Linked DNA regions of Canis lupus familiaris. The protein of the gene in region 2 interacts with the protein of the main gene of each other region in a pairwise test. Links are inferred from orthologs where the notes say so. Each region holds a gene or a part of one and is shown on either strand. Other genes may lie near its edges.

What was found.
Region 1: the proteins of TACC3 (region 2) and KIZ interact in binary tests that used the Homo sapiens proteins (3 or more experiments, as listed by UniProt). The two-hybrid records come from large-scale screens. The link is inferred for Canis lupus familiaris from reciprocal best matches to the Homo sapiens genes TACC3 and KIZ.
Region 3: the proteins of TACC3 (region 2) and CIB3 interact in binary tests that used the Homo sapiens proteins (3 or more experiments, as listed by UniProt). The two-hybrid records come from large-scale screens. The link is inferred for Canis lupus familiaris from reciprocal best matches to the Homo sapiens genes TACC3 and CIB3.

The regions. Positions count from the first base shown.
Region 1 is NC_049245.1:2,556,464-2,563,757, forward strand, and holds the end of KIZ (centrosomal protein kizuna), read right to left. Parts: intron 5,290-7,294; coding exon 5,246-5,289; intron 2,900-5,245; coding exon 2,796-2,899; 3' UTR 2,757-2,795; downstream 1-2,756. UniProt on the Homo sapiens protein: Centrosomal protein required for establishing a robust mitotic centrosome architecture that can endure the forces that converge on the centrosomes during spindle formation. Required for stabilizing the expanded pericentriolar material around the centriole.
Region 2 is NC_049224.1:62,904,143-62,911,584, reverse strand, and holds part of TACC3 (transforming acidic coiled-coil-containing protein 3), read left to right. Parts: intron 1-874; 5' UTR 875-875; coding exon 876-1,037; intron 1,038-1,187; coding exon 1,188-1,330; intron 1,331-2,857; coding exon 2,858-3,790; intron 3,791-4,535; coding exon 4,536-4,611; intron 4,612-4,807; coding exon 4,808-4,925; intron 4,926-6,929; coding exon 6,930-6,982; intron 6,983-7,272; coding exon 7,273-7,376; intron 7,377-7,442. UniProt on the Homo sapiens protein: Plays a role in the microtubule-dependent coupling of the nucleus and the centrosome. Involved in the processes that regulate centrosome-mediated interkinetic nuclear migration (INM) of neural progenitors.
Region 3 is NC_049241.1:46,719,452-46,727,693, forward strand, and holds the start of CIB3 (calcium and integrin-binding family member 3), read left to right. Parts: upstream 1-4,171; coding exon 4,172-4,222; intron 4,223-4,438; coding exon 4,439-4,473; intron 4,474-6,159; coding exon 6,160-6,271; intron 6,272-7,236; coding exon 7,237-7,384; intron 7,385-8,242. UniProt on the Homo sapiens protein: Acts a an auxiliary subunit of the sensory mechanoelectrical transduction (MET) channel in hair cells. Plays a role in regulating hair cell MET channel localization and function.

The DNA.
Region 1 (7,294 bases), on a different chromosome or scaffold from region 2:
TTAAATTTAGCTGGACAATTTGCCTGGTAGAGGCATTGAGCCCCAGGCCTACTCTCCCACTACTCAAAAGTGAGATTAAGTGCTAGCAAAATGGTAGGTTGTTACCAACCTAGCTTTCTTCTGGGTCATCATCAGTACACACGACTTGTGATCTCCAGTAAAAGGTGTTCTAGATGTAGGACTCTGTGCTTTCTGTTAGTGTCTAGCTGAAGGGCTGTTATATTTTCTGATAATATTTAGAATTAAAATAGAAACGTTTAAGACTATTTTTAAAAAACAAACATCTATATACAGAGATGAGGTCCAGAAGGTTATCACTCAATTGTCAAAGTTTACTGCTGGATTTTTGTGTGGAATAATTTCAGATTTATAGAAAAGTTGCAAAGATATTACAGACAGTTCTTGTATTGTCTGGTTCCTAATGTTACATCCCCCTGATCTTACATTACCATGGTACATTTGTAAAAGCTAAGAACCCAACACTAGTACATTACTGTCAGCTAAACTCTGAACTTCATTTGGGTTTCCCAAAATTTTCCATTAATGCCTTTTTTTTCCCCTTTAGTTTGAGGGTCCAACTTAGGATCCCATGTTGCATTTAGTCGTCATGTCTCCTTTGGTTTGTGACACTTTCATCTCCTCTTGATTTTCATGACTTTGACAGTCTTGAAGATGGCCAGGTATTTTGCTAAATGTCCCTCAATTGGAGTTTGTCTGATATTTTTTCCCCCACGATCAGATTCTGGTTAGGAGTTTTTGGAGAGAACATCACACGGGTGAAGTGTCCCTCTCATCACAGCAGTGGAGGCATGATGCATACATAACCTCTCACTGGCAACATTCAATTGTGGTCATCTATTATTTTCCAGATGGGATCTCTGTAAGTACCCTAAGAAATGTTCCAGATGCTGTGCCTGCTGTCCTGAGATCTCACCCCACTGGGCTTCACAAGGGATGGGATTTCCCTGATAACCGCTTCCCACCTTTTTGTCCTTTTGAGGAATTGCCAGTGTTTTCTAAAGTTGTTGCACTGTCTCACATCCCCACCAGCAGTGTATGAGAGGTTTTCTCCATATTCTCACCAACACCAGTATTACTTTTTTTTTAATTAATTAATTTATTTATGATAGTCACAGAGAGAGAGAGAGAGAGAGAGAGAGAGGCAGAGACACAGGCAGAGGGAGAAGCAGGCTCCATGCACCGGGAGCCTGATGTGGGATTCAATCCCGGGTCTCCAGGATCGCGCCCTGGGCCAAAGGCAGGAGCCAAACCGCTGCGCCACCCAGGGATCCCAGTATTACCTTTTTTGATTCTAGCCATTGCAGTGGGAATGAGGATACCTAGTGATATTTCGCTGTGATTCTCACTTGCATTTCCCTGATGACTAATGATGTCCAGCATTTTTTCATGTACTTGTTGGTCAAATGTATATTTTCTTTGGAGCCATGTTGATTCAGATCCTTTGCTCATTTTTAAGTTGGATTAGTTGTCTTTTTATTATTGAGTTATAAAAATTCTTTATATATTATGGATACAAATCTCTTTTTAGATAAATGATTTGCAAATATTTCTCCCATTCTTTTTGCTTTCCTTTTTTTTTTTAAAAAATATTTATTTATTCCTGAGAGAGAGAGAGAGGCAGAGATACAGGCAGAGGGAAAAGCACGCTCCACGCACTGAGCCCAATGCGGGACTTGATCCTGGGTCTCCAGGATCAGGCCCTGGGCCAAAGGTGGCACTAAACTGCTGAGCCACCAGGGCTGCCCTCTTTTCACTTTCCTGATGTGTCCTTTGCAGCAAAAAAAGTTTTAATTTTGATGAAGTCTAATATATCTGTTTTTCTCTCTTCAGGGCTTTTGGTGTCATAACAAAGAAAGCATCGCCTAATGCAAGGTCACAAAGATTTACATTTATGTTTTCTTTTAAGAGTTTTATAATCTAGCTCAGCTCTTATATTTAGGTACTTGATCTATTTTGAGTTAATTTTGTATACAGTGCAAGCTTCATTCTTTTGCAGGTGGCTATCTAGTTGACCTAGCACCCTATGTGGAAAGACTATTCTTTCCCCCACTAAATGGTTTGGTGCCTTTGTGAAAAATTAAGTGACCATATATGTAAGGAGTTGTTTCTGGATTATCAATTCTAAATTGTATATATTGATATTTTATTAATCTGTATGTCTATTGCAGTCCCACACTGTCTCAATTACTACATTTTTAAAAAATTTCATTTATTTATTAATGAGAGACAGAGACAGAGAGAGGGAGAGAGAGAGAGAGAGAGAAAGGCAGAGACACAGGCAGAGGGAGAAGCAGGCTCCATGCAGGGAGGGAGCCTGATGTGGGACTCGATCCTGGGTCTCCAGGATCAGGCCCTGGGCCGAGGGTGGTGCTAAACCCCTGAGCCACCTGGCCTCCCCATTACTATAGTTTTTAAAGTAAGTTTCAAAATTGGGAAATATGAGTGCTCTGACTCTGGTTTTCTTTTTTAAGACTGTTTTAGCTATTCTAGTTCCCTTGGATTTCCATATGAATTATAGGATCAGCCTGTCAATTTCTACAAAGAAACCAACTTGAATTTTGATGGGCATTGCATTTATCACTTTGTTTTTTGATGACACTTCAAATGAATATGCTATTTATGTTTATGCCATGAAATTTCGCTCCAATGGCAATGTGGTCCCAAGTTTTCCCATTAAACAATTAGAAAGCTTAAAATGACATGCTTATTTAGGACTTTACATACGAACACAGGCCTTTAGTTTCCTTAACGACTTTATTTCCAACAGTCGTTACTCAGTCATAAAAATCATCAAAATCATTGGCGGATGTGTTACGGTTTCTAGGACGTAAAGCAGCTTCAATTTCTGAGTTACTGTCATCAGACTCACCCCAGAAGGCTGGAAAAGAAAACCAGACAGCTATTTAACATCTCTCCACTCTGATCAGCTTGTCTTCAACAGCCAGACAAGGCCTGCAAAAGGCCTACCAGGGACATGGAGGGATGAACCCAACCACATGTGTCTGGAATGTGTGTCAATACTGCACAAATGCGAACATTTCAGTGTGTTCTATGGAAAACACTGCAGAATATTTCCTTCCCTTCTTGTGACCACCTCCTTACTGTAGGACGGGGGTTTAAGACCAGGGAACCATAGAAGCACAGCTAGCTAAGTATTTCATCAGACCGGGGACCACCTCAGCTCTGCTGCTCTGGCACTTTGATCTCCTCTGGTCTTCATAAGAGCAGATGAGAGAAGGGAAGATGTGGTGAAAGGAAAGAAGTGAGGTGCATACTGAGACCAGGCCTTGGGTGCACATAGCTTACTTGGGAGGTGATCCCTGGGAATGATGGGAGCAGCTAGAAGAGTGACACAGGAAGCAAGAGCCCACAGCGGGGTGGACAGTAGACAGGAGGCTCAGTCCTGAGGGTACCCTCTGAGACACTCAGAACTCTCCTCAAACTGTCCCAACAGAGCAAGGAAGTGGGGTTATTTCCCAACCTACTTCCACTTCTCATTGGTTGAGAGTTATTCTCAACCAGGGCACCCAGTCCCTGGCACTCTGGGCAGCCCCGTGGGGATGGTGCATGCTTCCAGGGCCAGAGAAAGCCCTCAGGCTGAGGCTAGCTGCCTGCAGTGGAAGGCCACGGCTGCCTGCAAACGGTGCTGCGATCTCCAAGATAGTAGGACAGAATGTGAGGGGGCATGGTCTGCTCAGTGACCATCTCCACGACCACTGTTATCTCCATGGGACTCACTGCCTGCCACTCTGTGATGATGGCTTATATTGAACCCCATTTCATCCTTGTACCAACCTGGGAAGGCAAGTATGACTGCCTCCATCAACTGAGCAAACAGGCGGAGAGGCTGTGACCACCCTGATCACAGCATTGGTGGGTGCTCCAGCCAGGAGTCCCATCCAGTATGTCTGACTTACACCTACACTCTCGATCAGGGCCCACTGGGAAGGGGGTCTAAGCAGACAGAGTAGGGGAGCCCAAGCTCCAAGGGATATGCCACAGCATTAGCATGCAAGGTGGAGGAGGTGCTCCCTGTGAGCTGAGGGTTCAGAGACGAATAGGGGCTCAGAGTGCGAAGGAAAAGGGTAGGAGCAGTATGAGGAAAGGCACAGAGGTACAAGTGTGGTATCCAGGCACACCTCATTTTCTCTGTGCTTTCAGAGATTGTGTTTTTTACAAATTGAAGGTTTGTGGCAACCCCACATCAGGCAAGCCTACTGGTGCCATTTTTCCAATAGCATTTGTTCATCTTGTGTCCCCGTCACATTTTGGTAATTCTCTCATTATTTCAAACTTTTCCATTATTATTTCATTTCATACAGTGACCTGTGATTAGTGATCATGACTCGCAGAAAGCTCAGATGACAGTTAGCATCTTTTAGTAATAAAGTGTTTTAAAAATTATTTTAAATTATGTTAATTAACATTTTTTTTAGACATAATGCTGTTGCATACTTAAGAAACTACAGTATAGTGTAAACACAACTTTTATAGGCACTGGGAGACCAAAAAATTTATTTGGTGTTATTACGATAATGGCTTTATTGCAGTGGTCTGGAACCAAGCTGCAATGCCTCCGAGGTATGTCTTTATTTGGAAAAAAAATGACTTAAGTCACGACCAGAAGAAGACAAGACCTTGCAAGGCACTGAGCTGGAAACAAGGGAAGGGATAGACTACAAGGGAGAAAGTTACAGACTCTATCCTGCACATAGTGGGGGACACCAGCAATTTTTAACCAGGAAGGTAAGAAGGTTCATTGAGGTTTTGGATGCTGGTGGCCAGGTAGAGGACAATCAGGACTTGGGGAGGGACTGGATATAAGGAAGCCAGTTAGTCTAATGCAAGAGCCCTGTCATGTCATGAGCAGTGGGTACTTGTGGGCACTCGCTGTGAGGTTGGGGACAGAGGCAAAAAACATTTCATAGGTAGAATATACCCGTGTTGACAACCAAGTGGATGTGGAGGCCAAGATACCCTGTGCTCATACTTGCAAATTAGAATGCTAAGCCATCGTGGCCCGTGGCCCCTCATGTGTCGTCAGGTCCCTGCCCTGCCACGGAAGAATGGTGCCTCGAGCAGCCCTCCCCTCCCCTCAGAAATGGGGAGGTGGAACGGCCCCCTGTGATCACAGGCACACTTCAGGCTCCTTACACGATGATGCAGAAAACAAATAGAAGGTCACAAACAACTCTTGATTAAAGCACAAAAGGAATCCTCTTACCTTTAGACTCTAAATTGGTAGTTAATTTCTTTTCGTTTTCATACCTGAAAGATAAAGAAATAGCCTAAGTCCTGAAAAAAAAATGACAATCAGACTGATATTTTTACAATGAGTGCATCAGCAAAGAAGCACGTACGATGCACGGAAAGGCCAGATATTTTATGTGTGCTCTCCAAGTCTTAAGAACAAGAAGAAAATGTCAGGACCACAGTGGCCAGAGGTGCTCGCTGATGCTTTGGGGGGTGGGTCCCTACTGTGACAGCATCACTCGTGTCCCTGAGCGCATTCCCTACTGGCTCTGCAGAGACCAGGTCAGTCTGTGCCTGCCGCTTGCAGCTAGACAACGAGGACATGGTCAGTGAGGCAGAGCACCGACTTCCCTCTGACAGCCCTCTAAAAACCACAAAATGCCAGAGCTTTGGCACTCTCAAACAAGCTAAAAGTCAAGTACCTGAAGTAGAGAATCCGGGATGGAATGCAAGAAGCTAGTGAGGAAGTGAAGACTCCTCTCCATCAAGCCAGTGATGGCAATCCTTAACAGCTTAGTAAGGGAGTGCAGAATAAACTCCCATTGTGCTTACAGAAATGCACTAAGGCACGGGAAAGAAAGACAAGGATCCCGGGCACCACTGTGTAAGTTTCTAGGTGTCACATGCACAAGATGCTAGTGTTTATGGCATCAAATACTAGCAATGTGGTCCTGGCAGGGTATCTGCTAGCATTTACATTTACAGATTATTTCATTAGAACAGATTCCACCCAGCCTTTTAGTTGAGTAGAATGAAGAAAACAGTTGCCAATGTGCACGGTCTGCTCCTGACCGGGACTCAGGTCCTCTTGACATAGGAAACACTGTTAACTCACCTTCTCCCTCCCTATGGCTAACCTGTGGCTTAAAAATCTGCTCTTTGCCATAGGTAATATTATTTATGTTTTTTCTTCTGTAAAATAAGCTCCAGTCAGGTTATTACTTTCTAGGCTCAATATCTTTCCACGCTTCCTTTAAACTTGGTACCTGTTTCATGATCTGCCATGACCACCTAGGGGCCGGAGCTATTTCCCCACGAAGAAGGGGCACCCCCATGGCCATCTGAGAGGGTCTGGCACTCACCAGCAGACATGGAGGTGGCAGAAAGGTGCTGCGCACATGGATCCATCTGACATGAAGTACTTAGCCTACACACCGCCCCCCCCCCCACACACATACACACTCTAAATGCAACTATTGTGTTGTGTGTCTACTGTTTACCTACTTCCCATTTCATGAGGACACTGGTCCAGAGGCGGAGGGCAGAGGTTGGTTATAACAATGCTGGTGGGGTACAGAGAGGATAATTTTCCAGCTGTAGCAAGGAGAGCTGCAGGGGGAGATGGGGAGAGAGCCAAGGGCTGGGAGAACTGTGAGAACAGAGTGGGTGGTAAGTGGCTGTAGGACCCCTGAGAAGGCAGGGTACCTCCTGGGCTCTGCTTTTAAAAGCTGAAGCAAACCTGGGACAGAGGAAAGGGGGATGCGGTGAGATGTGGTAGTGGAGCCCTTGGCAAGAGCAAGTGCAGAATAGCCAGTGAGCACAGGCCAGATCCCAGGGTGGAGGTTGGGGCAGCCACTTCTCGGAGCTCCAGAAACATGGCCAGGGCTCGCTCTACTTGGTTGCCTTCAAAGCGTCCTGTGGTCAACATGTCCATTCATGACCAAATTCACAATCTCCCCAGCGTGGTTCCCTTCTCCTGCCAGGCCAGGCCCCTCAAGTCTCTGTCAAAGGCACCTGGACCCTCTGTTCCCTCCCCAACTCCTTCTACTCCTGGACCCTCCTGCACCCAATCAAGGCCTACGTTCCACCAATTTATTTTCTAGTACTTCCTGAAGTCATTGCTCTTCCCTCTAGGCTGCCACCAACTATCCAACTACACCATCATCTCTTGCCTGGACCTTTGGAACAGCCCCTGATTGATGATGCCAAAAACATCATGTCCCCTGTAGTCCATTTTCCACTCAGCAACAAGAGTGAACTTGTTGAAACACAAGCCTGATTATCTCCACTTCATCGCTAA
Region 2 (7,442 bases):
CCCTGGCTGGCTGCAGAAGCCTAGGACCCCCTACTTCCCTCCTCCCTTTCCCTGGCCTCCACATTCCTGCCAGGGCATCTTGTTACCCTGACTCACCTCTTTCCAGGCCAGCCTCCTTCCTCTGCCCCAGCTGCCCTGGCCTGGCTCCTCAAGCTGCAGTCTCCAGCATCCCCAACACCAGAAACACCTGTGATACTCCCACAGATGGGTCCTCTGGTGACTCCTGGCTTGGGAGTGTCACACTGATGACGTGACCATCATGAGGACCTTGGGGAAGGAGGAGTGGGGGCTGTTCTAGAACATTCTGGGCCTCTGTGTAGGTCACTGGTGCATGTTTCTAGACTCCAGGTCTCAGTGTAGTCCCCATCAAGTCATGCTGCATTTTGCTGGTTGGTGCCTTGTCCAGCTCTTTCTCTGGGGCTGGGCCCTCATGAGCCCCCAGGGTGCTCTCTGTTTCCCAGCCTGTGATGGGAGAGCAAGCCACAGCACTCTTCTGTTTCTTGCGCTCAGCTGACTTAGCAGCCTGCTGGAGCTGTGCTGTGGCCTGTTCCTTAAGCAAAGGCCTGAGGGGAGACCCAGGCTTTCCAACAGCCCAGCACCCCTGTCTCCTGACCTTCACCACTAAACCCCAGTGGTTTTCAGGACCTGATTCTTCTTCCTCCCTTTACGGCCTGAGGGCCCTTAAACCTCTTTTCTTGAGAAGTGACAGCTGCCCTAAAATAGGACAAGGACTGTCTGGCCCAGGACATGCTGCCTGAGATGGGACCCACCTGTGCAGGAAGGGGACATCTCCCATGTGAGGCCAGCTTCTTGCACTGGCCATTCATCCAAACTGCACAGCCCTCCCACTGACGCAAAGTGTCTGCTTTTCCAGAATGAGTCTGCAGATCTGCAACGATGAAAACGTCACTGGTGACAAAAGTACAGAAAACCATGAGTTCCTGTTTTCACCACCGGAACTTACTGGAAGACTATCTGTTCTTCGTCTGTCACAAAAAGAAAATGTGCCACCCAAGAGCGTAGTCAAAGCTATGAAAGTAAGCATGTTTTGCCCCTGTTAACTACTGTGTGTCACGCCTTCGATCACCCTGGGACTTGCTTTCCTGGGGACTTAGGGAAGTGGGCAGGGCACTGCCGGCAGAGTTGCTCAAGACTTGAATTATTGAACAGGTCTCTTCTCCCAACAGGTGACTTTTCAGACTCCTCTTCGGGACCCACAGACACATCGGATATTAAGTCCTGGCATGAGCAGCAAGCTCGAGGCTCCTTTTGCTCTGGAGGATGCTTTTGGGTTAGAAAACTCTCCTCAAAACCGGATCCAGAAAGAGAAGTAAGTTGCTGATGCTGCTTGATGTATTGCAGTTTGTTTGGTTTGGTTGGTTGTTTTAAAGATCTTATTTAGGGACACCTGGGTGGCTCAGCGGTTGAGCATCTGCCTTTGGCTCAGAGCATGATCCCTGAGTCCCAGGATCGAAGTCCCACATCGGGCTTCCTGCATGGAGCCTGCTTCTCTCTCTGCCTGTGTTTCTGCCTCTCTCTGTGTGTCTCTCAAGCATAAATAAATAAAATCTTTGAAAAATAAAATAAAGATCTTATTTATTTATGAGACGTAGAGATGTAGGCAGAGGGATCATGACCTGAGCCCAAGGCAGATGCTCAACCACTGAGCCACCCAGGTTTCCCTGATGTGCTGCAATTTGTAACCCCTCCAGGGGATGTGGCAGGAAAATTGTTTTGTCCTCAGTCACATCTGGTTGAGTTCCTCCTAGTTTCTGCTCTGAGCTCGTGCAGTGTGTTGCCTGGCTCGCTTGCATTAGAGGTCATTTGTTAGTAGAAAAGCAAATGACGAAAAATACAGAACAAAGTTTAAGGGGTTTTTTGTTGGGTTTTTTTTTTTTTTAAGGTCTTTATATATTTTAAAAGAGAGCAGGAGTGGGGAGGGGAAGAGTGAGAAGGAGAGAGAACCTCAACCTCACACCCTGAGATCACCTCATACCCTAAGATCACGGCCTGAGCTGAATTCAAGAGTTAAACACTCAACTTTTGAGATGAACTCAAATCAGACTGAGCCACCAAGTGCCCCAAATAAGTTTATGTTCCACTCCTTTACTGTGCCTTTGCCAGCAGATTGGCCTGGGTTTTGTTTCTCTAATTTCATGAAATGTCTGATCACAACTCCAAGGAAGGATGCTCTGTGGTTATGGTTCTTTATTCACACCCAATAGGGACTCCTTTCTACTTGCAAGCCAGCCTTGGGTGTTCTCAGTGTCAAACCCTGCTCTGTCAGAAGGCAGAGCTCTCGATCTTGCCTTTCTCTTTGGTGAAAATCTTGACCTTCTTGTGCCCTGTTCCTGACTGTGTAGCTAGTGGCCCTTACCTGAAAGGGGGAAATCAGCTAGCACAGAAAACCTTAACTGATTAATTATTTGTCACATCTGTACTATATCTCTTAGGAATCTGTGTGATTTAGGGGTGTTTGGGGTCTCAACTGGTGAATCTTCTGCCTTCAACTCAGGCCATGATCCCAGGGTGCTGGGATCGAGCCTTGCATTGGGCTCCTAGCTCAACAGAGTCAGCTTCTCCCTTACCTTCTGCACCTCCCCCTGCTTGTGATCACTTGTTCTCCTTGTCTTTCTCTACCTGATAAGTAAACTTTAAAACGAACAAACAAAACTTGTGTGATCTAGTTGGCCCACCAGCTTTGATTTATGAGCACATACTTGCTAAAGTTAATCCTAAAAAGAGTGTTGATTGAACATTCCTCTTTCCTGTTTGTAACTAACGTGTTCTCGTGGACTGAATTATAATTAAAAAGCTAATAGGTTCCTTAATATTAACTAAATTTGTTTCTAAAAAGTCAACAGCTTACAAAGGAGGTTGACCTCAAAATGACCAATGGAATTCTCCAGAAACCAATGATGACCAATGCCAACCCCCCTCCTGGGGATGTGAGAGCAGTCTCTGAAGATAGGCGGCATTCCAGTGGGCCCACCTCCACTCACCTGGCCAGCCTGGATCCCTCAAGCTCTCCCCAGATGCCAGAAAGTCTTGAAAATCAAGTGGCTTCTCTAGGACAAACGTCTGTGAGCCCTGAGCAAGCCTTGGAGGAAAGTGTTCGTTCTTATTTCTTAGAGAAAAGTATTATATCCACCTCTGAAATCCTAGAAGACTCTTCCCAGATGGCTCCCCAAGACAGAACAGAAGACCCTCACAGAGCTGCCAGAGAAAATTCAAACCAGGTCCCTGCATCCTCATCCGGGGCTACTTGGCCACCTGGCACTCAGCCTACAGAAGCATGTGCAGAAGGACCCTTCGCAGACCTGCCTGGCAAGGCCCCAGCCAGCCCTGAGGACCCCTTTGGTCCTAGGAACACCATCCTGGCCAGCCCTCTGAAGGCTAGAGGGGCCCCATCCCCAAGTCCTCAGAAGGAAGAAGCTGATGACCAAAGGGTCAGCTCGTGGAGCAACAGACCTATAAGGCTAGAATTTGATTTCTCTGACAATGCCACCAGCAAAAGGGAACTGGGGGAGAGACCCAGCCTTAAACCTCCTTCCGGGGTATCAGAGGCCAGACAGGAAAATGCACCCAAGGAGGCGGATGAGGAGCCCATTCCTCTTCTCCGGGGGTCTTACAACCTGGACTGGAACAAGCTGGATGACCCAGACTTTAACCCGTTTGAAGGTGGAAGAGAGGCCCAGCCCCCAGAAAGCCCCCAGAGCAGGCCAGCTGGACCTATGGCCAAGAAGTTGCATGCTGGTCCCGAGGCCACAGGGTACTCCCCTCTGAGCCAGTGAGTACTTGGTGGTGGGGGAGTAGCTAGCTGCTTGGTAGTGTGCACGCTAGAGGACCACAGACCAGAGATGCACATACATGCCCCCGAGAAGGGGTCTTGGGGCACACATAGGCTGCAGAGGCATGCTGGTCCTGGATCCCAAGACCGGGGAGGGTGCTCACAGCCACTGTAGATCGTGGAGGAGCATCCATGGCGGAGCCCCGTTCCGTTCCCTCCACAGGGGTGGGGCTATCCACATGCTTGCTAAGGGCATTGTCTATAAAAAAAAAACTGGAAATTTAGAAAGCTCTCTAGCGAATTCTGTCTGTAGTCCGAGAGCCAGTGGAGCGGCTCTCCATGCTTTCTGGGGTGCTCTGGCCCTCTCATGGTGCTCTCTGGGGATGGCTGCTTAGTGGCCACTGAGTGCTGGGTCCCAAGAGGAGCTTAGCCAGTGCCCAGCCACTTGTCCCACCAACAAGCTGCAGGTACATGTTGGGGCTAGCAGTCCGGCTAGGGAGGATTCTGGCCCTGGTAACTGGTGACCCTCCCCCAAGCATGTTTGCCAATGTCCTAATGAAACAGGACCAGTGAAGCTTTGGGGATGGCTCCCAGAGCAGACTCAGCCTGGGAGCTCCTGGCCGAGTCCCATGAGCACAGGATTCTTGGGCAGTTGAGGTAGGGAGGGGTGGCCCTGCCACTCAGGCGAGTCTTCATGAGGCAGCTCCAGGCTAGGGCACAGGCCCTGCTGACCCCATCTCTTCAGGCAGGTGCCTACAGCCTCGGCAGAGGACGCACATGAGGTGCAGACGGCGGCAGGGACCCCAGGCACGGTGGGTGAGGTAGGGCCACGAGCACAGCCCATGCCTCCGTTGTGTGGGTCCTTGGGCAGAGGGAGGCTGGTGGAGATGGGGTGGGACGCAGAGCAGCACCCAGAGCCTCCTACACACCCCTATCCCACCAAGACTGGGGGAGACACGGGTCCCACACGGGACCTCTGGTGCCCAAGCTGCCCAAATTGAGCCGGCCTTCCTGCAGGAGGGAGCAGCAGAGCGCGCAGGGGCATCCGCTCCAGCAGGCAGCCTGGGAGGTCCTCCACAGGACCCGGAGCCAGCCTCAGACCCCAAGGAGGAGTGCTTCCGAGACCCCACTGAGGGTATGTTGTCCCCAGGTCACTTGTCTGTCCCCACCACCGGGACACTGCTCCAAGCACTGGTGTTTAGAGGTGTTTTTCTGGAGACTCCGTGCTGTGACTTGAAGCAAGGCGCCCAGAGGTCACTGGTTTCTCAGGAGACGGATGCTCTCAGGATGTAGCCCTAATGTGAAGGTGTCCTGGGGCCAGAAATTGGGCTCAGGAAAGCGGGCTGGGGGTGGGGATGTGGCTCTGCACTGCATATTCATGGGTGGGGCCTTGCCAGTTCTGGGGGAAATGCTTTTGGAGGGGAGCCTAGATGGGGCACAAGCACCTCTGACCTCTCTGACGCAGCAGGCCCTGAGGTGGTTCCAGGGGGAATCTGGAATTGAACTGCCTCAAGAGCCGTAAGGCAACATGATGGGCTCCCTATTTAACCTGCACACCTAGAGAAGAGTGGAAATGGAATGCAGGGTTGGTCTGTGGAGGAATGATCCCAGGGCTCTCACCACTGTGGCACAGAAGCCACGGAGACCCCGGAGTCCTGTGAGTCCCATGTCTGGTTTGTCTTCCTGCGCATCAGGTTTTCTAGAGTCCTACACCTTGTACCACAACATCAGCATTTCCTTTCCTGGCGGGTAGCGCGGCACCGCGCAGATGGGCCATAGTTGGCACATCAGTCCACCCGTTGATGGGCGTCGGGGTTGTTTGTCCTTTTTGACGATTTGAAGGCTGCTGTGAGCTCTCACATACATGTGTTCATGTGTCTGTGAGGGTTCTGTTGTCTTGGGCATAAACCTAGAAAGTGATCTGGGTCATGCAGTAACTCTGGGTGAAACTGAGGAACCACCAGGGTGCTTTCTAAAGTGGCTGCAGCACATAAGGATCTCAGGGCACCAGTGTTTGAGGGTCCCAATTTCTCTAGGCCTTGTCGCCCCCGGGGCCACTGTGACCCGATTCCAGCCATCCAGGGTGGGAGTGCAGGGGGCCAGGTGCACCTCCGCGTGTTTTGACCTGCATCTTCCTGGTGACGAGCCTCTTTCCTGTGCCTTTCAGACCTTCTGCAGAGTGTTTGCTCTGGTCCTTCCCCTGCTGTTCCACTGTTGCGTTTTTATTGTTGAGTCGTCAGGGCCTTTGGATCTATCATAGGTGGGGACTTCTTACCAGACGTGTGACATGGAGGGAACCGTCTACCATCCTGTGGGCTTCCTCCCTCCCGATGGTGTCCTTTGAGGCACAGACGTTAACCTGAAGTCCCGTTTATCTCTTTTTTTGTTTTTTTTCTTTGTGTTTTTGGTGTGAAGTCAATACCGTAAGGATTTACCCTTACATTTTCTAAAAACATTACAATTGTAACATTTACATTTGATTTTGAGTTAATTTTCATAGATGATGTTAGCCACCCTTAGATTTTTTTTAAACATGTATATATGTGTGTGTGTGTGTGTGTGTGTGTGTGTGTGTATATATATAAGTTACCAGGAATCGAGGGACTCTCTAGGGTAGTTCTAAACGGTAGCTCTTGGGCAGCCCGGGTGGCTCAGCGGTTTAGCACCGCCTTCAGCCCAGGGTGTGATCCTGGGGACCTGGGATCGAGTCCCGCATCAGGCTCCCTGCATGGAGCCTGCTTCTCCCTCTGCCTGTGTCTCTGCCTCTTTGTGTGTGTGTGTGTCTCTCATGAATTAATTAATTAATCAATCAATCAATCAGTTAAACAGTAGTTCTTAACCACGGCAGTTTGGTCCTGGGGACACTTGGTCATCATGCCTGGAGCGAAGCTGTTCAGCTCCTGCAGGACACAAGACAACCCCACAAAGTGCCCTGGCCCCAGGAGTCATTAGCGTGAGACCAGAAACCCCGCTACAAAGCACAGAATTGTTGGCTGCAGGTCCAGGCTAGGCAGGGAAAGGGATTGTCCTAGCCTCAGTGCTGCAGGGCGGGAAGCACTGGGCTACTGTTTGCTGTGCCTGAGCAGCAGGACCCGCCCACATGGGCCAGTAACGGCTGCCCTGACCCTATGCCTCTCAGTCCTAGGCACGGGAGCTGAGGTGGACTACCTGGAACAGTTCGGGAGTTCCTTGGTGAGTACCTGCACCTTCGTGGTGATCTCTTCCTGAGTATGCTTCTCAGGAGGGAGCTCTTTCTAGAACAGCCCTGAGCCACCATCACACCTCTTAAGATCACGATGGCCCTACTGCCCCACTGTGGTGTCCACACCTCCCTGGGAACCTCCCACCCAGGGCCCTTCCCAAGCCACACTCACAGCTTCCAATGCCCATCTCAAGCTCCCATGCCAAGGTAAACTCGAGTGCACACTGTCCTATGCTGAGGAAGGCCTCCTCAGGTGACAGTGACTTGCCTGTCCCTTCAGTTCAAGGAGTCAGCCCTGAGGAAACAGTCCTTGTACCTCAAGTTTGACCCGCTCCTGAAGGACAGCCCTCGGAGACCAGTGCCTGTGGCACCGGAGACCAACAGGTACTCCTCCCCCCAGTCATGGGGCTTCAGGATGGCCATTGGTCAGTATTTCTAGACTAAGTGGGG
Region 3 (8,242 bases), on a different chromosome or scaffold from region 2:
TACACACTAGGTGCTCAATAACTAATCATTGATGGGCACAGGTTGGGGGCACATAAGCAAATCACAGGGTGTCTGATGGGGTCAGGCATAGCAATCAGGACTTCAACCAGGAGGCACTAGGGAGTAAGGTGTTTGCTAATTAGTTTTCTTAATTGTCTTCATTTTTCAAAAATGCATTTACATGCAAAAAACTCACCCTTTATGGTGTTTAGTTCTATGAGTTTTGACAAATGAATACAGCTATGTAACCAACGCTACAATCAAAATATAAGACAGTTTCATCACCCCTAAGATTCCCTTGCTCCCCATCTGCAGCCCCTGGCAACCATTGATCTGTTTACTGTCCCTACAGTTTTGTCCTCTTGAGTATGTCATATAAATGGAATCATCCAATAGGTAGTCTCTTGAGTCTGGCTTCTTTCAGTTAGCATAACGCATTTGGGGTTCATTCCTTTTGTGTATATCAGTAGTTCATTCTGTTTTATGGCTGAGTAGTAGTCTATTGTATGGATGGAACTCAGTCTGTTTAACCATTCCCCAGGTGAAGAACATTTGTGTTGTTTCCAGTTTTTAGTAATTATGCATAAAGTTGCAGTCATTCTTTATGAACAAATATTTTTAAAAACTGAGATATAGGGCCCCTGGGTAGCTCAGCAGTTAAGTGTCTGAGCGTCTGCCTTTGGCTCAGGTCGTGATACCAGGATCCCGGGATTGAGTCCCGCATCAGGTTCCCCACAGAGAGCCTGCTTCTTTCTCTGCCTTTGTCTCTGCCTCTCTCTCTGTGTCTCTCATGAACAAATAAAAAATCTTTAAAAAAATAAATAAATAAAACTGAGATATAATTCACAAATCATGAAAGTCACCCTTTAGAATGAGGTGAGACTTATCACCTTCACAGAGTTTTGCAACCATCACCACTACCTAGTTCCAGAACATTTTTAGCAACCCCAGAAGGAAGCCCCCATCCCCATGAGCAGTCACTCTCTGTCCCCCTCCCCCGGCCCCTAGCAACCACTCATCTGCTCACTGTCTCTATGGATTTGTCTATTCTGGAAGTTTCATATACATGGAACCACACACTGTGTGGCCTTTTGTGTCTGACTTCTTTCATTCTGCATGATGTTTTAAATTCTCATCCACATTGTGGCATGTATCAGGACTTCATTCCTTTTTTTTTTTTTAAGATTTTATTTTATTTATTCATGAGAAACACACAGAGAAAGGCAGAGACATAGGCAGAGGGAGAAGGAGGCTGCCTGCAGAGAGCCCAATACGGGACTCGATCCCAGGACCCTGGGATCATGACCTGAGCCAAAGGCAGATACTCAATCACTGAGCCACTCAGGTGCCCTGACTTCATTCCTCTATATGACTGAATAATATTCCATTGTACGAATGGACCACAATCATTTGGGTAGTTTCTACTTTGGGGGCTATTATGAACAATGTTGCTATGAACATTCACATACAAGTTTTTAAGTGGACATATTTTCAGTTATGTTCAGCTTGGAGTAAAATTGCTGGTCATATGGTAACTCTATGCTTAATCTTTAAAAAAAAAAAAAGATTTTGGGCACCTGAGTGGCTCAGCGGTTTAGTGCTGCCTTCAGCCCAGGGCCTGATCCTGGAGACCCGGGATCAAGTCCCACATTGGGCTCCCTGCATGAAGCCTGCTTCTCCCTCTGCCTGTGTCTCTGCCTCTGTCTCTCTCTCTCTCTGTGTATTCTCATGAATAAATAAATAAAATCTTTTTTTAAGATTTTATTTATTTATTAATGAGAGACACACAGAGAGAAGCAGAGACTTAGGCAGGGGGAGAAGCAGGCTCCTCGCAGGAAGCCTGATGCAAGATTTGATCCCGGAACCCTAAGATTATGCCCTGAGCTGAAGGCAGACACTCAACAGCTGAGCCACCTAGGTGTCCCTATGTTTAACCTTTTAAAGAACTGCCAAACTGCTTTCCAAAGCAACTGCACCATCTTAACATTCCCACAAGTGGTGTATGAGGGTTCCGGTATCTCCACATCCCGGCCAACACTTGCTATTGTCTGTCTTTTTGTTGTTGTTGTTGTTGTTGTTGTTGTTGTTGTTGTTGTTGTTGTTATAGGCATCCTGGTGGGTGTGAAGTAATATCTCATTGTAGTTTTGATTTGCATTTCCCTAATGACTAATGATGTTATGCATCTTTTCATATACTTATTTGCCATTTGTATATTTTCTTTGGAGACATGTCTACTCAAATCCCTTACCTGTTCTGTTTTGTTTTAATAGACTTTATTTTTAGAGCAATTTTAGTTCACAACAAAATGGAGCAGAAGGTACAGAGATTTCCCATGTGCTTTCTGTTCCCCCCACACACAAACCCACAGCCTCCCCCATTACCAACATCCCCCACAAGACTAGTGCATTTGTTACACGCGATGAATTTACATTGACACATCATATCATCTAAAGTTTACATTAAGGTTCACTATTGGTATTGTGTCTTCCATGGTTTTGGACAAATGTATAATGCATGTATCCACCATTACAGTATCATACAGAGTAGATTCACTGCCAAAGGGACATCTGGGTGGCTCAGTTGGTTAAGCATCTGACTCTTGACCTCACCTTAGGCCTTGATCTCAGGATCATGAGTTCAACCCTCGCATTGGGCCCCATGCTGGGTGTGGAGCTTACTTTAAAAAAAAATCACTGCCATAAAAATCCTGTGTTCCATCTATTCACCCCCCCCAATCTTTGCCCATTTTTAAAAATTTGTGCAATTTGTCTTTTTATTGTAGTCTCATTAGAGTTCATTATATATTCTAGAGATCAGTCCCTTATCAGATATATGATTTGCAAGTATTTTCTTCATGCTGTGGGCATGTACATGTTTTTGTGTGCCCATAGATCTTTTCATTTTCCTTGGGTAACTACTCGGGAGTGGGATGGCTGAGTCATGTGGTAAGTATATGTTTAACTATAGGAAAGTTCTGATCCATTTTCCAGAGTGGCTAAACTATTTTGCATCACCATCAGCAATTAATGAAAGTTCCAGTTGCCCCACATCCTCTCCAACACTTGATATTGTCAGTTTTTTTTAAAAAAAAATCATCCTAAGGGGGTGTTTGAAGCCTGATCATAGTTACATTCTACGAGATGACTTCACAGACTGGGGCTGAGGAGGGTTGATGAGAATGGGAGGAACTGTGATCGTCCAGACCAGAACGAGTGGGGATGAGGGAAAGGGAAGATCCAAGAGCAGTTTAGGGGGCCTGGAGTGTGGCACTGGAAAAGGCTGAGCAGGAGAACAAAGTGGAGAGACAGGAGAGATCCAGAACAAGACAAGCATAGAGCACTGGGTTAAAGGATTTTTGACCTTTAGGTGTTCTGCCCAAAAGGATTCTGGGTCTTAATAAAGTTGGCAGCTACTACATTGTACCTACCCATTGAGGATGCATGGTGAACATCAGCATGCTAAAGGCTCTGACAAGTCCTGCAATAAAGAATTCTGTTTGGTATCATTTAACTGATTGTTTCTCAAACTTATACCTTGGATCACTTTTCTTAAGTCATATCATCATCATCATCATCATCATCATCATCATCATCTCCAATGCACACCTGGGGACCTCATTTATCTCTTTCACCCAGTTATTATGCTCCCAGTGCCTAAAACTGGCTCATACCCAATATCAAAAAATTGGGGGTTTTTTGGTTGCATTAATGATCTTGTTTGGTCTTAGGGCAACTTGATGAGTTGGGTACTAATATAACTTCCATCTTACAAACGAGGCTTAGAGAGACCAGGTGACTTGTCTAAGGCACAAGGCTACTGGGTGGAGAACTGGTATTTGAGTTGGGATATGTTGCAGTCTCTTCATCACCCTGCCTGGCTCTGGAAGGTGCCCCATGCCTTCAGCCTCACCCAGTCGTGGCAGACATGGTCTGCTGTTCTGTGACCTCCGACAGTCCTTCTTGTCCTGGTGGCCATGGACATACTCAGGCTATTGCCCAGAGAGCTCAGCTGTAACTTGATCTCACCCAGGCTGGGGGTGACAGGGCAGGTGGGCAGGTGACGGCCAGGGCAGGGATATTTGCCCAGACGCTGATGTGCAGCAGCCTGGCAACCCGTGTGGCTCTGAGAAGACTGGGGGCTTGTTCCTGAGTCCCGGCAGTGGTCTTTCCCATGGGCAACAAGCAGACAGTCTTCACTCATGAGCAGCTGGAAGCATATCAGGTAGGGGTGATGGGCTAGGCCCTCAGTAGGCTTAGCAGCCTTGGTTTCCCCGGCCTGCGAAGTGGGGACAGCATCATTTGTCCTGGCTGTGCAGTCAGCAAGGGTTTCTGGTGCAGCTCTGCATGCAGCATCAGGCAGAGATGGGCATGCAGGGAGAGGGAGAGGAAGGAAGCCCCTGAGGCAGGCTCTGGGCCAAGTCAACATCTCTCTCCGCAGGACTGCACCTTCTTCACGAGAAAGGAAATCATGAGGTCGGTCTGGGGAGAAAGAGAGGAAGACCTAGGACCATTTTCTATCCGTTGCTGGAGGATGTTTGCAATTGGACAGGACTGAGTGCCTCATGGTGGTTAAAATGCAAAGGGGGGGATTGCAGGCATGGTCAGGGGATGGAGGCAGAGATGGGGACGATGAGAAGCCACATCCTGTCATATTGTCACAGTCTCTAGGTTGATTAGCTTGGGCTTTCTCCCATGGGTTGTGCGGAGCCATGGAGAATATGTGACCGGGGTTGGAGAGTTGGGGGGAGACGTATCAGCATGTTAGAAAGATCCCCTGAGCCCAGTGTAAAGAGGCTGGGACTGGAGGCTGGGAACCTGGGGGTAGAGTCTAGAGTCATCTCTGGGCTGTGGGGGTGGCACCAAGGTAAGGGTGTGGGTAGGCAGCCTGATGCTGCTGCAGGTCGCTTGTGTGAGCGAGAGAGGCATACATGAGTATCCCACATTACTGCTCAGCCTGGGGCCATTGTCCAAAGGCCCCGACCGATGAACTTGGAGCTGTGAAACCCAAGCTGGCTGGGGTTCAGATACAGAGTGATAGGGGCCAAGGCCCCAATTGTGTGGGCATGGGATATCCATTATTGATGGGCACACCTTTCACCAGTGAGCCCCATTGTCTGGGTGAGGACAGCTCGTAGGGTCATCCTGGCCATTATGATCAGATTACTGATGGGGAAACTGAGGTTTGGACAGGGGAGCTGGCCCCAGCTCTGCAAATGGGCAGAGCTCCAAGGAACTTGAGGGCTGGTGTTTTGTCCATCATGAGCTTCTTATTTGGCAGCATAATAACGAAGCTCAGAGGGGAAGAAGGACATGCTCAAGGCCATACAGAAGCCCAAACCCAGGCTGTTCCATGAGGCAGCCTGGGCAGAGAACTGGGTGGTCAGGGTTTAAATTCCAGATACCCCATTCTTGAGTTCCTAGCCATCATATGACCCAAGGAGCCCTTGGGTCCAAAGAGCTCCCAAAGAGCTCCTCATCTCTCTCAGAAACAACCCCTAGCAGCTTGGGGACCTCTGACTCACCAAGCATGGTCTCTACCAGGCTGCCTAGCCTCATGCCTCTGGTGAAAATAGAGCATCAGCAGGGAGGACATTGGAGTGGAGAGCTGGCCTCACAATCTAGGTAGTGGGGGTGGCACTTGGTGTTTTGCAAAATGCCTTGCATGCATTAAAAAAAATCCTGAATATTGGCCTTTGTCTCTGCTCTCCCCATTTAGAGAACCCTCACATTCTGGGATGAGAGGAAAATGTGAGAATAGGGAGTCTTTAGAGGCAGAGTCTTGCCAACATTGTGATAATATCCAGGATTCATAGATTCACTCAGATTCTCTGAATGTTTGGCGTGCAATGATCTTGCCTTAAGCACTCTCCTTTTTGCTGTCCCCACCTGCCTGGTCAGCTCCTATTCATTCTTCAAAGCCCAGTACCAGTGTCCTCACTCAAGTCTCCCCTAGCTCTGGGGTCCTTTATCCACTTTGGCCCTGTCCCCAGGGGGTACATGTGTCTGTGTTCGGCTCTGTGTGCCTGAGGGCTGGGCCTAGAGCTGATGACTCTTGGGCACCCATGATGTGTAGCGAGTAGCTGCAAGAATGAGAGAAAAGGGAAAAGCCCTTCCCACCCCATCTCCCAGCCTTTCCTGGTGTTTCCCTCCCCACACCAGGCTCTTCTATCGCTACCAGGACCTGGCTCCCCAGCTTGTCCCCCTCGACTATACCAGCTGTCCTGATGTGAAGGTGCCCTACGAGCTCATCAGCAGCATGCCCGAGCTGAAGGTGTGCGTGGGCCATGGGGTAGGGAGGGGGAAAATAGAGATGCTCCCTGCTGCATTCCTATGAAGCGGATACATTTTACAGATGAAAGAAGTGAGTGAGGTTCAGAGAGGTTAAGACATTTGGTCATGGTCACACAGCTAGGATGTGACAGAGACAGGATTCAAACCTGGGGTTGTCCGAACGATGAGATGAGATAGTGCAGGTAAAGGACTTGGCACAGGGCCTATTGCATGGCAAGTGCTCAGGGAATGGGAGTTCTGCTTCTCATGGCAAGAGCCACTAAAAAAGCAGGTTCTTTTCTGCTGGATGTTTGTCATGTAGTTTGTGTTGCCAAAAGGTGACTTGTGGGGTGAGTGACTGAGTAGAGATGATTTTATCACAAGGGACAGAAACCTCATTCGAGAGGGATGAAATATAATGGAACACAGGAGAAAAAACTCTAGGGGCAGAGCTAGCGCCAGGTACAGCTGGAACCAGGGTCTCTGAGGTCATGCTCGGGAGTCTCCCTCCACCTCCCAGTTCCTCCCAGGAGGGGGCTTCAGTCTCAGGCAGCCTGTCTGCTTGAGGTAGTGAAGGGAAGCCCCAACAGCCCCAGATTCCTCTGGTCAACTCTGTGACCAGCAGAAAGCAGATCCCTCCACCTCCATCTTTCGGGAACCATCCCAGGGCAGCCTCTGGCCAGTTTGAGCCCCCCGCCCCCAGCCTCCCCCAGAGTCAATCACGGTTGTCAATGGAGAGTGACCTCTGATCGACCTCAACCAGTCAGGTGGCTGCATCCGGAACCAGAAGTGGGTCAAGGCCACCAAGATCACAGGGGCAGAGGCAGGAGTTGCCTGAAGTCCTCTCCTGGGACCGCGGGAGGGAGGAAGTTTTCAGATGGGGGGTACTTGAAGGTTTCAGGAAGGTGGGTGCTGAGAGTGATCCCATATGGTGCCCTGAGTCCCCTCCCTGCTTCTTGTCCCCAGGACAACCCGTTCCGCCAGAGGATTGCCCAGGTGTTCTCTGAGGATGGGGACGGCCACATGACCTTGGACAACTTCCTGGACATGTTTTCCGTAATGAGTGAAATGGCTCCCCGCGACCTCAAAGCCTACTATGCTTTTAAAATTTATGGTGTGTGCAGAGCTCGGGGGTAGGGGAACATGGGGGTGGGGTGGGGGTGGGAACAAGACCAGGTGTGGGGCCAGGAGCTGCCCTGCAGTCACAGATGTCTCCCCAGGGGGCTTTGAGGCCCCGCATGGACTTGTCCTGCGCCCCATATTGCTACTTGCTGACCTCATCCCCTTACTCCTTTCCAGCCACATTGGCCTCTCTCTTCCTCCAGCTCCCCAAACTCCTCCTCCCTCTAGGACTTTGCATCTGCTGTTCCCTCTGCCTGGAACAGCTCTGCCTTGACTCCTGCTTACCTTGAAGTCTAGGTCAAAAGCAGCTTCCACCTTCAACCACTCTACACCCCACATCCTATTTCCTCTCCCAGCATGGAGCAGTGCTGCTTCATTCCTCTTCATACTGATTTCTCTCTGATGAAACCCAAGGGCAGCAAGAGTATCTATTTTTGTCCCCATCTGTCTTCCGTGCCTGGGAAAAAGTAGGCATTCAATATTGTGTGACTAACTGACAGAAAATTTATCACAGCACCTAGCATTCAGTAGGTGCTCACTAAAAGCTTGTCAAATGAACAAAACTTTATCACGGTGCCTAGAACATCGTAGGCACTCACTAAATACTTGTAGATTAAAAACAGTCACATATGCCCGGCACATAGTAGGTCCTCAGTAAATACTTATGGGGGGAATGAATGACCTCCCAGCAGGACTCTGCCCAATTCTAAAGCAAGATCCAGCTATTACCCCAGGGTCTTGGGCTCCTTCCGGTGCCTCAGTTTCCTCCTCTGCAACAAGGGGACAAGAGGCCCGGCCTGTCTACCCCCAGCTGTGCCCCCACTCCACATCCCCTCTATCCCACTGCACA